2 linked regions of the Canis lupus familiaris genome follow. The protein of the gene in region 1 interacts with the protein of each later gene in a biochemical or structural test. Links are inferred from orthologs where the notes say so. Each region holds a gene or a part of one and is shown on either strand. Other genes may lie near its edges. The genes, in order: DRAP1 and DR1.

The links.
Region 2: the proteins of DRAP1 (region 1) and DR1 form a complex in vitro, tested with the Homo sapiens proteins (2 studies listed by BioGRID). The link is inferred for Canis lupus familiaris from reciprocal best matches to the Homo sapiens genes DRAP1 and DR1.

The regions. Positions count from the first base shown.
Region 1 is NC_049239.1:51,850,097-51,857,561, reverse strand, and holds DRAP1 (dr1-associated corepressor), read left to right. Parts: upstream 1-2,811; 5' UTR 2,812-2,931; coding exon 2,932-2,973; intron 2,974-3,225; coding exon 3,226-3,298; intron 3,299-3,409; coding exon 3,410-3,503; intron 3,504-3,801; coding exon 3,802-3,921; intron 3,922-4,044; coding exon 4,045-4,138; intron 4,139-4,311; coding exon of another isoform or gene 4,312-4,378; coding exon 4,379-4,467; intron 4,468-4,813; coding exon 4,814-4,919; 3' UTR 4,920-5,050; downstream 5,051-7,465. Other genes in the region: C18H11orf68 (UPF0696 protein C11orf68 homolog), read right to left, coding at 899-1,655, 2,354-2,487. UniProt on the Homo sapiens protein: The association of the DR1/DRAP1 heterodimer with TBP results in a functional repression of both activated and basal transcription of class II genes.
Region 2 is NC_049227.1:56,204,764-56,212,369, forward strand, and holds the start of DR1 (protein Dr1), read right to left. Parts: upstream 4,279-7,606; 5' UTR 4,198-4,278; coding exon 3,978-4,197; intron 1-3,977. UniProt on the Homo sapiens protein: The association of the DR1/DRAP1 heterodimer with TBP results in a functional repression of both activated and basal transcription of class II genes.

The sequences.
Region 1 (7,465 bases):
AGAAATCACTGAGAAACCGATTCTGATTCTTGGGATGGAGGAGAAGCAGGACTAGCTTTGCAGAGGCTCTCAGAGAGGCTCCCAGCCTTGGCAGTGAGGTGAATCTTATTATAGGAGGCAGTTAGGCGTACCCATGTAGGGCAGAGAAGCAGGCTTTCCTGGCCCAGCTTCTTTCCAGAGACCAAAGCAGGTAACCACCAACACAGTATTTTAAAAAACACTCAAGACACAGACCCAAACTGGGTTTTATTGAAATGCCAGGAGCAGGCACATGTCAAGGTAGTGAAGGAAGGAAGGTGGTGCAGGGAAGGAAGGAAGGTGGTGCAGGCTGTATGAGGTGGCAGGGAGGGGCAGGACCCATGTCCATGGCCCTGGCATCCCCTCTCTCTGCCAAGGGCTGAGTGGGTACAATCACCCTTCCCCCACCCTACCCCCAAAATAGCATGCTTAGGCCTGCAGGGCCTTTGCCCCCTGGACTAGGAAGGCTCCAAGAGGGACTGGAAGCACTAGTTTTCTCTCTTGTGAGGGAGGAGAAGGAAAGGATGCAGGAGAGGGAGGTACACCTGGGGAGGAGGGTGGCTAAGGAAGGCTCTCCTCCTGGGAATCTGTACCCAGCCCATGGTCCTGGATGACAGAAGGGAGCAGCAGTGAAAAGAGAGGCTGAGGGTCCGGCCCTCAGGGAGCCAGAGCCTCCAGCTGGTGGGAACTTGAGTCAGCCCTGAACAGAGGGCAAAGGTTCAAAGGGACCAAAGATGCAGGCAGTTTCCGATTGACCTGGTCCTCAGAGCTAGGGGGCTCAAACTCCTTGGGACAAAGAGGAGGAAGACAGGAGGATCCAACCGTAGCAGGGAGCTGAGTGGGAGGGGGGCAGAACGTGGTCTCCCCCAACTTGGCCACACTAGGTCAGTTCCACATTGTTGGCGCGATCCAGCACACGGGAGCCACGGGTACTGCCCCCCAGCTGAAAACGACTCTCATAGAGAGTGGGGCAGAGGTGCCAGCGGTTGGCCCGGTAGATGCCCAAGTAGGTGTAGACGTCAGGTTTGTAGGTGAGCAGGCACTTAATGCCTGCCGCACGGATGGCTGCATCTGCCTCCAGTACACCTAAACGGTCCGTGAAGTCATCGGTGTAAACACAGATGACCTGGCGCCCACCCTCCCTGGCCCGTGGGCTCACCTTGGCCACCTGAAGCTGGCCCTCGACCACAGCCCGAGCAATGCCAGCCCAGGCGTGGTCCAGCTTAAAGCCAGGTGCCAGGTGTATCAGCCACTTGCCAGACAGCACATGATGGGTGATAGCCAGTTGGCGCAGGGTACTCGGTGTGATGGGCCGCCCGCTGGTCTGCAGAGCCTCCCAGGCTGCCTGCAGGCCCTGCACATCGCCCGAGTTGGGGACATAGCCTTGCCCATATGCTGCAATCCAGCCCACGGGCTCAGAGTTGGGTGAGCCAGGGTCCCCATAGCGAGTAACTTGGGATGGTGGGTACTTGGCCAACCAGGCATCCAGCTCGGTGGCAGGTGTGGTGCGAGCATCAAACACCAGCCAGGGGTCCATGTCAGCTGCCATGGCCTCTGCGGCCAGGTGCTCAGCAGTGAAGCCATCCTCGCGGCCGCCTGGAGAGTCTTCCTCCTCCATCTCTTCACCTGGCTCCATCCTGCCATGAAGGAACAGAGTTAGAGCAGGTCCAGGACAGACGTACAACGTGCTGGGCCCTAGCTGGTGCAGCCAATGGGCTTAAACTCCGTGGCCTTAGGCAAGACTTAAGGTCTGGTGCCTCAGCTGCCTCATCTTTACAGTGGACAAAAGCTGTTCCTGTCCCGTAGAGCTATGGAGCATTAAACGCCTAAGGTGGAATAAGCGCTGCATAAAGGTTATTACTAATGCTATTACCACTCTCCCCAATTTACAGACCAGAAAATCGAAGCTCAGGGAGAAGTGACCCACCCAAGGTCACACCTGCAATGAGTGACAGGGGCCGAAATGTGAATTCAGGTGTGGGAGCAACCAGCCCAGCTACACCTCCCGGCCCTGCCCGGAACTGGCAGGCATCCCGATCGCAGGATTCAGCGGAGGGAGGCAGAGAAGCGCACTTTCGCGTAGCATCGAGGCAGGCCCAGCAGGACCAGACCCCCGGGCTGGCGCTGTCGGGCCTACTTGAGCACGAGCACATTGATGCCCGGAAAGAGCCGTGACCAGTCCAAGGCCAACGGGGCGACAGCCGGACTGGAACCCAGGCTTGGTAGAGCCTACGAGAGCGCCAGCCTCGGGCCCGCCGCGCCCGCCGCCATTAGCGCCCACAGCCCGAGCCGCGCCCCCGCCCAGCCCTGCCCCCTCCCGCAGCCCCGCCGTCACCTCCGGCCTTCGCCGCGCTCGGCGCCGGCCCAGCCCCGCGCCCGGCTACGCTCCTGCCGGGGCTCCGCGCCGCCGCCGCCGCCGCCGCCGCCCCCGCCGCGCCCCGCCCCCGCCACGGCTGCCGCCGCCGCCATCTTAGCGCCCGCCGCCTCAACAACAACTTTATAGACAAGCGCAGCACGGGGCGGGGCCGCCGGGCCTGTCGCCCGCGCCGCGGGGCGGGGCCTGCGAGGGGAGGGACTGACCCCGGGGGCGGGGCCGCCAGGGGAACCGGGGCGGGGCGGGGCGGGGCCTCGGGGGCGGGGCTAACGTTCGCTTTCCTAGGCTTGGGGGCCGGCGGGAGCGGCGCTCCGGTCCCGGATCGACGCGCACCGCCCGGGAGGCCGCAAGGGGAGGGCGCTCCGGCCCTGCGAGCGGCGTCCTGACCGGCGGCGCTAGGACCGCGTGGGGAGCGGCGGGGGCGGAGCAGGCGGCACCAGGACCCGGGGGAACCGCGGCAGGCGGGTGGCGAGCAGGCCCGGGGGCCGGGAAGCTGCGGGCGGCGGCGCTGGGCCCGGCGTGGCGAGAGAGGCCCTGAGATGCCGAGCAAGAAGAAAAAGTATAACGCGCGGTTCCCGCCGGTGAGCACGTGGCCAGGCCCCCGAGGAGCGGGCCGGGCTCTTTGGAGGCTCGGGCCCGAGCCGGGCTTGGGGAGGTTGCGTGGGGGGGCGGGCGCACCGTGGTGTTCGGGGTACGAACGCCCCGCCCCCTTCCGTGCCCTCCCGGCGTCCGGGTCCCCAGCCCTCTCTCCCGGGAGAACCTCTCTCGTTAGCCCCCAGCACCCCTTTCGGGGATGGAGGCGACAGGGTCCGAGTTTTCTGCCCCCTCCCCAGGCGCGGATCAAGAAGATCATGCAAACTGACGAAGAGATTGGGAAGGTGGCGGCGGCAGTGCCTGTCATCATCTGTATCCTGTCGGGGCCTGGCCAGGTTGAGGGACCTGGGGTAGGGAGGGAGCCCGGGGTCGCCTTGTTTAGGTTGGGGATCCCCCACCCGTGTTCTCCTTGACGCTCCTCAGCCCGGGCGCTCGAGCTGTTCCTAGAGTCGCTGTTGAAAAAGGCTTGCCAGGTGACCCAGTCCCGAAACGCCAAGACCATGACCACATCCCACCTGTGAGTGGCCTGGGAGCTGGTTGGGCCCAGTGGAACCTTGCCCCAGGAGTTCACACACTTAGGAGAGGTGGGAGGCTGCTGGGAGACCAGCAACGCCTCGAATATGGGTGGGTTTGAACTGGGGGAGGAGGGGTTGGGTGGTGTAGCAAGGCGAGCAGGTTCCGTAGTGGAGATGGGATGGAGGTTCTCCAGGCTCTATCCTCCTGATATCCATCTCCTGATATCTCCTGCTGTCCCTTGCTGAGAACCCAGACATCTGGGCCCCAGCTGAATTCCATCTTCTCCTCACCTCTTCCAGGAAACAGTGCATTGAGCTGGAGCAGCAGTTTGACTTTTTAAAGGATCTGGTGGCCTCTGTGCCTGACATGCAGGGAGACGGGGAAGACAACCACATGGATGGGGACAAGGGTACCCGCAGGTGGGGAGCCAGGGCCAGGTGTCCAGGCAAGGAAGGCCAAGGCCAACTGGGGTTGGGGGTGACTGGGAGGGGGTGGTCAGGGATGGTGAGACCTCTGGGCAGATGGACTGTACCTTCCCAAAGGGGTCGGAAGCCAGGCAGCAGTGGCCGGAAGAATGGTGGGATGGGAAGCAAAAGCAAGGACAAGAAGCTGTCAGGGACGGACTCAGAGCAAGAGGTGAGTGAGGCCCGCAGCCCTCTGGTCTACTGTGTGGTGTGGAGGGGGTGGTCTTGTATCTGGCCTAGCATGCTGGCTGGACACCCGGACCCATCCTCACCTATGGTTTTTTGTAAATTAGGGCTGTAAAGTTAAGGCTAGAGAGTTCAATGTCTTGTCCCTGCCGCTCCCAGGGATCTAGGCTCGCCAGTGATGGGCTCATGCTTTTCTTGTCACTTCTGACCCCTGCCTTGCTCCCAGGATGAGTCTGAGGACACAGACACTGAGGGAGAAGAGGAGGCACCCCAGGCGCCACCCCAGGCTGGCCATCCCCCTGCCCACTTTCAGAGGTAATCAGCTTGGTGGCACCAGATGAGGCTAGCAGACTCCTCAAGGCTGGCCTGCTCTTGTGGCCACTTGGTTTTGTTGTTTGTGGAAGATTTGGTGGATGAGAGGGGAGGAACTGAGGAGGGCTTAAAGGCAGAATGCTGCTGTCAGAAGATCCCCTCCCCTACCCCCACCCAGCCCCATTGGAGGGGGCCTGGGCAGGAGCTGTGTGACCTGCTCTGGGTTCTTCCCTTCTCTGGGCTCGGCTGCCCCTGGGTACAGAAGGCCGGGGGCTCCATGCTCACAAGGGTGGGGTAGGTGGGCACTGGCAAGGGGCCTGATCTTTCTCTTCTGCTTTCTGCCCTGCAGCCCCCCGACACCCTTCATGCCCTTCACTTCGACTCTGCCTCTGCCCCCAGCACCCCCGGGCCCCTCAGCACCTGACGCAGAGGATGAAGAGGACTATGACTCCTAGCGGCCTCTGCCCCCCCCCCAGGCCACACCCCCTTTTAGTTGGTTTTAGTTGCTCTGGGGGGAGGAGAGAAGATAGAGCTGTTCTTAAATTTATTAAAAAATTAATAAAAGGGAACACCAGTGTCTGTCCCAGCCTATGTCCAGGGCTTTGTGGCCACCTCCCCATCCATCTACCTGTTTTCCCCATGCTGAGCTGAGGCCAGAAGTGGTGGTAGGCAGGGCAGCAGCTGAGTGAGGGAGGCTCCAGAGGCCATGGTCCTGCCAGGGTAGGAGCAGGGGTGCTGACAGAAGGCAGAGTGGTGGTGGAGGGCTGGAGCCAGAGGTGCTGGTTGTGCTGGAGGATGACCTGTCCTGTTTTGCTGTGTGACCCTGGCAAGGTTCCTATCTTTGAGTGGCCTCTCCTTATCTCCCCGGTAGAGATCTTTCTGCCTACTCCGGGCTACTGCAAATAGACAGATTGGACAAACAATGGGAAGAGGACTTGCAAGCTATAGAGCTCTGTGCCTGGTGCCATGAAGGGCGTGTGGGAAGGGGCAGTGGGAGCAGAGACAGGTGGGATTGTCAGGGGCCTCAGAGATCAGCTTCTGAGCAGGAGAGTGACCCATTTGGTCAGTCCACTCCCATTTCTGAGTAGACCCTGGAATCGTGGGGTCCCCAAGGCAGGTGTGTGCTTTCAGGGAGCAGGGGCTTGGTGAGGCTGGGCAGAAGATGTGGTGGACAGTGGGTAGACTTGAGGTGTATGTTCTCAGTAGACCTAAGTGTATGGCAAACTGACTGGCTGTGGGGCTGAGAGGGAGGGAACCCTTAGGGACTGCTAGGTTTCTTTCCATAGTGACGTGGGCAGGGGCCCTGTTCCAGCTGGAGGACACAGAGAAAGAGCAGGATTAGGTGTTAGGGTCACAAGTTGGGCTGTGGCGAGTTTGGAGTGCCTGTGAAGCTGCTGTGGAGAGGCATAGGATGGGTACTGGCATGTAGGGGACTGGAGACAAATGTGTGAGCCTTGAGAGTAAGTGACTTCACCCCAGGGGGAGAGGGGAAGGCCTGGGCAGGCCACCCAGGGAGACTGGACAGCAGCCACACCCAGGTGCCCCCTGCCTCCCGCCCCTGGGCACTGGGGGTGCCTCCAAGTGTGTCGGAGGAGGGAGAGGTAGGCAGCTGTCACAACAGCTTGGAGGCTTTAGGAAAAGCTGGGTGATGGTTGATGAGGGAACTGGAGGTGAGAAGCTGAGGTGGGAAAGTGACACTCAGGCCTGAGAAGCAGAGATGAGAGCCGTGGCTCAGAGTGAGGACAGAAAGACAATTTTTGGTTTTGTTTTCTAAGATAACACAAATGCAAGCTGTAGTGAGGGAGGGAGACTGATGCAGTGAGGTGAGCTTGCCTGAGGCTGGTCTTGGCCTGACCAGGGGGAAGTGGAGGATGATGAGTGGGTTTGGCAGGAGTCCTGAGGTATTCAGGGTTTGTGTTGTGTTGTATTGCATTTTTTAAATTTATTTATTTATTTATTTATTTATTTATTTATTTATTTATTTATTTATTTATTTATTTATTTATGAGACAGGCAGTGATAGCAAGAGAGAGCAGGAGTGGGGAGGAGAGGGAGAAGCAGGTTCCCCACTGAGCAGGGAGCCCGACGTGATCCTAGGACCCCAGGATCATAACCTGAGCCAAAGTTAGAGGATGCTCAACCAAGTAAGTCATCCAGGTGCCCTGAGGTATTCGGATTTTATGTAACAGTGTCTGACTTCTTTGGGGCATAGGAGGCCAGGTGGCAGTGTGGAAGGGCCCGGGCACCTGGAGCCTAGGGGCACCTGGGTCCTGTCTGCCTCTCGTCTGGTTGTAGAGCCCTTGCTGTCTTTTTGGGATCATCTCTCTTCTCTTCAACCTGTAGTATGTGCAGCTGATCCCACTCCCTGAAGTTAGGGGGTATGGATGTTGCACCACATCTTATGGCCGCAGTGAATCGGGCAGGCTGGGCCGTGATCCTAGCAGGCCTGAGCCCTTGACGTTAGGCGGGACCATTGGAGAAGGATTTTGACAAGATGGCTAGCTTTCCCATGGCACTGGAGGCAGCAGGGAGCCCTTTCGGGAGTCCTGACGAGAGTGACAGTGGCCACATTGGGGTAGCAAAGCTGGCAGGATGCAAGCTGGGTGCTGCTGGAAGCCATTCCCCACCCCAAGGGGTGGTCCTGACTGAGAACAAAGTCAGTGCAAGAGAGCTGGGAGGTTCAGAGATACGGATTTCTGATGACACCAGGACCTGGTCTTGCCTGAACCCTGTTTACCTTGGACTTCTTAGTCACATGAGCCAATAAACGTTTTCCTCCTTCAAAGCCAACTGGCTTTCTGTTACTTGCAACTGGAAGAGTTCTTGTTGATGGGGATTATGAATGGGAAGCGGTCCCCAGCGGCACAAGAGCAGGAGCAGTTTTCTCTAGCAGTCAGTTGGGCCCAGTCCAGGGGTAGGTGGACACCTGGGACCCCTGGTTAAGGGCGTGCCACATGCCAACTGTGATGAGTGGGGTGGGAGAGGAAGAGACCTTTGGAGC
Region 2 (7,606 bases), on another chromosome or scaffold:
TAGGATTTTGAACAAAGCTACTCAAACTGTGGTTCATGGACTTGTGCCAGAATTGCTTATAATGGTCTGTGATGGCTTAAGTATGGAAATCCAAGTAAGCATTTTGGAACCTTCACAGCAAAACTGTAACTATGTGGGGTGATGGATGTGTTAGCTGACCTTTTTTGTGGTATCATTTCACAGTATATACATATATCAAATCACTATGCTGTACACCTTAACCTTACACAATGTTACGTCAATTATTTCTCAATAAAGCTAGGAAAAAAGGAAACTTCATAGCAACTTGACCGTTATTTTATATCTATTGAATCTAACAACAAAAATTGAACTTTTATTTATGTCTTTTTTAATTTTGTTTTTCTAGTGATTCATTTTTATTATATTTCACAAAAGTACCAGTGTGAGAAGAACTGGAATTTTAAAAAATCCTTCAACATAGATAGCTTGGAGAACACAACTGCTAAAACAGCAAACCTTCAGAGACTTTTTCAAGCTTTCATTACTTTCAGTTACTATTATTTTAAATGTGGGGTGGGGGGATGTAGGAGGAGGTTAAAAATGCAAAAAAATAATATCACTTAAAATATCCTTATTTATACTTTGGCTTTACAGATGGCATCATGCTTTAAGATTAAACCTAACAGACATGTTTTAATCAGTACCATTACACATTTAAAAAACTGTTATTTATTACAGCATATCATGGAAGATTCTCAACCTTGATTAATTCTCAATAATTGCAAGTGATACCTGAAACAATTAGGTATTATTTATACATAAAAGAGGAAACCTTTCATAAATGTGCATAAGGCCAAACACTTTGCAGTGTAGAACTTGTCACTCTTAAACTCTCAATGTTAGTTCTTTCCATAATACAACAGAATGTTAAAACTCATTTACAAATATGTGTTCACAGAGGTGTCTGGGAGGCTCAGTCCTTAAGCATCTGACTCTCCATTTTGCGCAGGTCATGATCTCAGGGTCCTGAGATCAAGCCCTGTATCAAGGCTTGAGATTCTCTCTCTCCTCATCTCCCTCTGCTCACTGTCCCCCCCAACCCCCCCAACCTTCTGTGCTCACTCTCTCTCTAAAATAAATAAATAAACCTTAAAAAAGAAAGAATATGTGTTCAGGGAAACCAGAAATGAAAATAAAAGGAACACCTTTTACAGCTTAGAATTGCTTTGTGTATCTGTGATCCTCATTACCAAGTTCACTTTCTTAAACTCAAAATAAGCATAACATTTAGAAATTTTAAAAAATTTAATGACTTCAAAGATTTATTGGCAAGAAGATTATTTTGACTTTAGTAACTTGCATTTTACAGAACTGCCCAAAATGCTTACTTTGCTCTGACAAGGTAAAGCAAAGTAGCAAGGGAAAAATGACATGTCTTAAAGCAAAATCTAGTTCATTAAACTTACTACTCAAAAATCTGAACTTCAACATGTGAGATTCATACAACTTTATTTTTTTTAATTTTTTTTTAAGATAACCCATCCAGGTTTCTTTTTTTTTTTTTTAATTTTTATTTATTTATGATAGTCACACAGAGAGAGGGAGAGGCAGAGACACAGGCAGAGGGAGAAGCAGGCTCCATGCACTGGGAGCCCGACGTGGGATTCGATCCAGGGTCTCCCGGATCGCGCCCTGGGCCAAAGGCAGGCGCCAAACTGCTGCGCCATCCAGGGATCCCTCATACAACTTTAAATGTACTAATTATTCCATTTGGATACATCCTACATACCAAAATAATTAATGCTTACAAAAAGCATAAAAAATGTTGTAACTTCCATGTTTTTGCAAGCTTTCCAGGGTTAATCTGTAAAATACATTTTTAACACTTTTTAAAAATATATATACATTTTTTAAAAATGTAACCACTCAAGACAAAAATTCTTTAAAATGATTACGCAATGTGAGATTAACATAAGATTATAAATGTATAAATTTTATTCCCCTAACTGGAGAAGAATTTGGGGCAAAAATGGTAGGTCCTTTTCTACTTAACAGCAATGTTACCAAAAAAAAAAAAAAAAAAAAAAAGGGTAAATTTATAAGACTAAAACAGGTCAATGGATGATTTTTTAAGAAAATTAATCAATCATCCCCAGTACACAAAGGAAAATGAAAATGCTTTCACTGGAACTTTCTGACTCACATCTTAAACTGAATTTAGCATATTCCAAAGTTGAGCTAGTTAGCATACTGCTCACTACAGCTGCACTTTTATTCCATCATGTCAATCAGAAATCTAAATATATCCCAGAAAAGAATAAACTACCCAAGAAGACAGACCGTAATGTGTTATTAGATTTTTGGAATAATCCCCACTTCTGTGTTGTAAACAAATGTTTAAGCACATCCTTTAGAAATCTTGTGCAATTTTCATTAGAAAGGCAATGTTGATAAAAGATTTTTTCTTTTTTACGAGTTGTAAGAGGAAATTACAGCTATCTGTGTTGGATAACCTTATGAAAGACTTATGACAATAGTACACACAATGTAAAAATAAAACACGAAACAAAAAATAGAGAACTTGACTTTCATTGTACTTGCCAGAGTGTTCAGCACACCAAACAAGTAGAAAACACTGGCTTTAAAATCAAACATGGTTTTTCCTAGAGATTTTTTTTTTCTCCTCATGTACAGGAATGGAAATGGCAGAGTATACTTAAATCTATCTTCCACACATCATTAAGGACCAAAAATGAATCATTTCTTTTGTCAATACTGATAGTAAAATATTGGAGATGGTAAATACGAGCAGATGTGTTCTCTACTTCAGAATAACAGGAAAGTCACCTCTAAAAAGTTAAATTATAAATTTAAGAATAATTATAAATTTAAAAATTATAAAAAATAAATGCCCACTAATATGATTAAAATTAATCATTTTTTCTGACTTCAAAAGCAATCAAAAAATTTTTAGATTTTAATTGAATTATTATAAAAGGCAAATTACCGCCTCAAATTGAATGCAACTTTCCCATAAGAGCATATGTGCTCTCAAAACATTATGACTAGTAAATATGTCTCCCTAGCCTGAAACAAACCATCAGAATGTGGTCCCCCACGTCCTTACTATTGGACTAAATCCTTTCCAAGATAAGAAAGGGTTGAAACTTCCAAAAATGCTGTTCAATAAAAGCTTAAGTGTATACAGCTAAATGGGAAAGGCAGCAAGAAAGGACAGAGAAATGTTCCATGAAAAATATCTTTTACAACCTTTCAATCCAAGCTTTAAAAATTTATCTCCATAGAGCAAAGCAAGCTACACAAAAGAAAAAAACTACGAAAGAAAGTGAAAAAAGAAGGAAAGAGGAAAGAAGACTGGTTAACATGGTAGGACCACTAAACCATTTTTAAAGCAGAAAACATACTGTCTTTATTCAACATCACCAAACTTTACAACGTTGAACACATTTATGTTAAGAATTCTTTTACTCGTGTGTTCAGAAAATTCATCTTTTCTTCTACATTGCTGAAAAGACCGCATGGGGAAGGGGTGCTGTCTCCACTCATCCTTGGAAGTTCCCGTGTGATTTTTCCTTTTCCAAGGGATAACTCTCTGTGTTCCTTTCTCAGTTGTTGTGATCGAAGGTTCCACTTTAGGCAGACAATTTCTCAGTCGTCACGTCTAGGTTCCACTTTAGGCAGGCATGCAGGCAAAATTCTTGTTGCTTCGGCTTACCTGGCCGTCAACCGAGACAATTAATACTTTATCCCTGGAGGATGTTGGCTGACCTAAACGCTTGCCATCCTTACGTGTATTCGCTGGATGAAAAGCACCACCACGAGAATACTACCCAGGAGTTTCTCAAGGCATCGGCTGCTTCCATGCCCGCGTGGCTTTTTCGTCTGCCAGTACTTATGTAGGGGAGAGGAATGAAGGCTTTGACGTGAATGGGTCCCGCAACTCGCGGGCTGTCCCCGACCCTCGCTTAAACAAAACCCCCACACGTACCACTTACCTTGTATGACATGCTCAGGTGAGATGGTCTTCTTTTCCGACTTGTTGCAAATCTCATTAGCTTCAGAAGATATAAGGTGAATGAATTCAGTGCAGCAGTTCACCACCAGCTCCCGGGCATCGTTGGCCACCCGGACGTTGGGGAGAGTCTCTTTGATCATCTTATTGATAGCAGCTCTAGGTATAGTGAGATCATCATCGTTGCCGGACGAGGAAGCCATCGTAGCTCCCTCTCGCGCGCGCCCCGACTTTTAAAAACTCCCCAGCTCTAGTCCACTATTCCGCGAAGAATTTTCAAAAGGCTGCCCTCAAAAGTGTGATCCCAGGAGCGCGGAGAATGAAGGGGGGTGGGGGTGGGGGTGGGGGGTAGGGAGGAGCCGGTTCGTGAGGGTGGGGAACACCCGTGTGAGAGATTTTTTAGGGCGAGACCGGGAAGGAGGTCGGGGTGCTGAGGATGGTCGGGGCAGCGCTGTCCAGGTCGGAGAGAAAGCCAAGGTGGTCCGGAAATGTGAGCACTGGGGAACCACCTTCGTGTCTCCTCCGAGGAGCGGGCGCTGTCGCCTAACCGGTCCCCAACCGCGCCTGAGGAGAGGCAAGGTCCGGGGCACTGGCCTCACCGCGGTACCGGGCAGCCACCCAGCGGGCTGGGCGCTACAGAGCCGGAGCCCCAGCTGCCGCCGCCGCCAGCAGCCGCTGCCGCCGCCTCAGCCAAACCATCCTTCAGACACCCGCGCCGCCGCCTCACAACATGTCGGCCGCAGCCGCTGCGGGAGCCGTGGCGGCCGCCCGGGAACGAGTACGGACAGAGCCGGGCACCAGGGGAGCGACAGTAGCGGCCGCCGTGGCCGTTTAGCCCGAACGCAGATCGTGGAAGCCGAAGCCGCGGCAACGGTGGTCCCTCCAGAGGCCAAGGAAGAAGGTTTGCTGGAAGCCTCTCCCGACACCCTTTGCGCTACCGGAAGCCTCACCCCCCCTCCGGCCCCCCCTCTCCCTCGCAGACCGACTTCCGGGTGTGGCTGCAGCCCTTCCCCCACCCGCCCGCGGCGGGAACGGTCCGGCCTCCCCGCCTGCGGCTTCCGCCTGCCGTCGTCTCTGCACGCGCCCGGGGACCCTGCCCCTTCGCGGGGAGCGGAGCGGGGCGAGCGCGCGCTGGTACCTGGGAGCCCCTCGGCACGCGCCGGCCCGCCACGCGCCGGCCCTCGGGCTGCCGCGCCCGGCTTGGGAGGGGGCGAGGGTGGGTCCCCTCCGCCGCCCCTTAACCAGCTGTGGCCTCGAAGCTCTCCCCCAGCCTTGTTTGAGGAGGGAGCGCCGGATTTCATCTCCTTTTAGGAGCCCAAATTGGGGCTGAGAGAAGGAGGCCCGGGCTCGGGAACGAGATGTCGGGAAAGCAGAACGTCGTGTGCCCGTCTACATCGCCAGGAGGAAACGCTTTTGTGATGACACCTAACAGACGTTGTTCGGATCAAAGCTCTTTATGGGCCTTTACCCATTTTCTTGTTTTATGGGAAATGAAACCTTCAGAGAAGTGACTTGCTAATAACCAAGCCAGAAACTAGAAGTAAGATCCCATGTAGTAGAGCGGACAGTGAGCCACGCTAAAGAGGTTCCCGCTTAGCCCCTTTTCATGGTGTGTTGAACGTTGGCTGCTGGAGAGGGTGAGAAGGAAAGTGGGTCCGACCATCAAGCACCTCTCATCTTTGCTTCTCTCCAGGGTGACCTGTAGTATATGTCAGAGTCTTCACAAAGTTTGTCATCCGTCATTTGGAAGAAGAGGTTATATTGTAAAACAGTGGGGTGTTGCAATTTCTATTTTTGTGTGTGTGTGGCAATTTTTTTAAATTTATGTTTTTTTTAAGATTTTATTTATTTATTCATGAGATTTATTTATTTATTTTATGATAGAGAGAGGCAGAGACACAGGCAGAAGGAAAGCAGGCTCCCTGCAGGGAGCCCGACGCGGAACTCGATCCCAAGACTCCAGGATCACACCCTGGGCTGAAGGCGGCACTAAACCGCTGAGCCTCCAGGGATCCCTGTGTTGCAATTTCTTTTTTTTTTTAAATTTTTATTTATTTATGATAGTCACAGAGAGAGAGAGAGAGGCAGAGACGTAGGCAGAGGGAGAAGCAGGCTCCATGCACCGGGAGCCTGATGTGGGATTCGATCCCGGATCTCCAGGATCGCGCCCTGGGCCAAAGGCAGGCGCTAAACCGCTGCGCCACCCAGGGATCCCGCAATTTCTAAACACTAAAAGATCCCATTTAATTCGCTTTGGGCACCTTCATCAGATACATTGTTCTTGATACATTGGATAGCAACTGGTTTGTTTTAAATGTTTCCTTAAAACTTTTATTTCCTAGGATTGAAGATCCTACATGTGGCATCTGGAGGAGATCTTAGTTATCTACCCTTTTTTTTTCATTTGGCAGTTTCTTCAGTACACTTGTGGTTTCTTTAATTTTTGAAATATAGATGCTTGTTTTTCAGTGCAACTAAGTTTAGTCAAAACAAAATTTCTTTGATAAAGCAGTATTTTTAAATTTTTTCAAAACAGGAATGTGAAACCCTTGCCTCATGTTGGCTCTTGATGAAGTGCTTTTGTAAGCCAGTTAGTTTACTGTCCACTTAAAGAGTTATATTGTCTAAATTTATCTTGGCCTTACCAAGTTTATTAGTCTGAAAAAGCTAGCTCGCAAAAAAAATGTCCCCAGAGTTAACACATTGTCACTGACCCAAAAAATGTCATAATGATAATTTTGCCTTTTTATATGACATTTGTGCTATAGACTTAAAGACCTAATTATACACAGATCTGCAGAGCACATGTTAAGTTGTTATTCCGGTAATAGTTTTTTACTATAGGTAATGAACTATAGTTTGTAAGCATGAAATATGTAGTAAAGAGACCTAGGTTACAGTCCCAGTTTTTGTTACTTTAGACAGGTCACTCCCTGAGCCTGATTTTCTTCAACTAGAAATGGAAATATTATATAACACAGGATTCAACATCAAATGAGACTGTATGTAAAAGCACTTTTTACATTATGATGAATTAATATGGATGTTAGTATTCATTATTATCATCTTTATCAGGTCTGGGCAGTCTTCAACCAATAATAAACCAGTACATAATACAACTGGAGAGAAAATTTAAATATAAATAGTGTGAGATGTTGGGGTGCCTGGGTGGCTCAGTCAGTTGAGCATCTGACTCTTGATTTCAGCTGGTCATGATCTTGTGGTTGTGGGATTGAGCCCCTCCTCAGGCTCCACGCTCAATACAGTCTGCTTATCCCTCTCCCTCTGCTCCTGTGCTCTCTCTCTCTCCCTACCTCTCTCTCTCAAACAAATTAACAAATAAAATATTTTAAAGAAATAGCATGAGATGTCATGAAATATACTAACCTGGATTCCATATTTAAGTTGTTATTTATAGTACAATATATCCCTAGTGTAAATAGGCCCTTGAAAACAAAGATAACATCTCCATAATAAGCTTAAGAGTTTTAGAGAGAGTGAATATAAATGAAACATTTCTTTCATGGTATTCCAAGATTTATGATATGGAAAAAAAAAAAACATAAGAGAGCTATTTCTTTTTTTTTTTTTAAGAGAGCTATTTCTTATAAT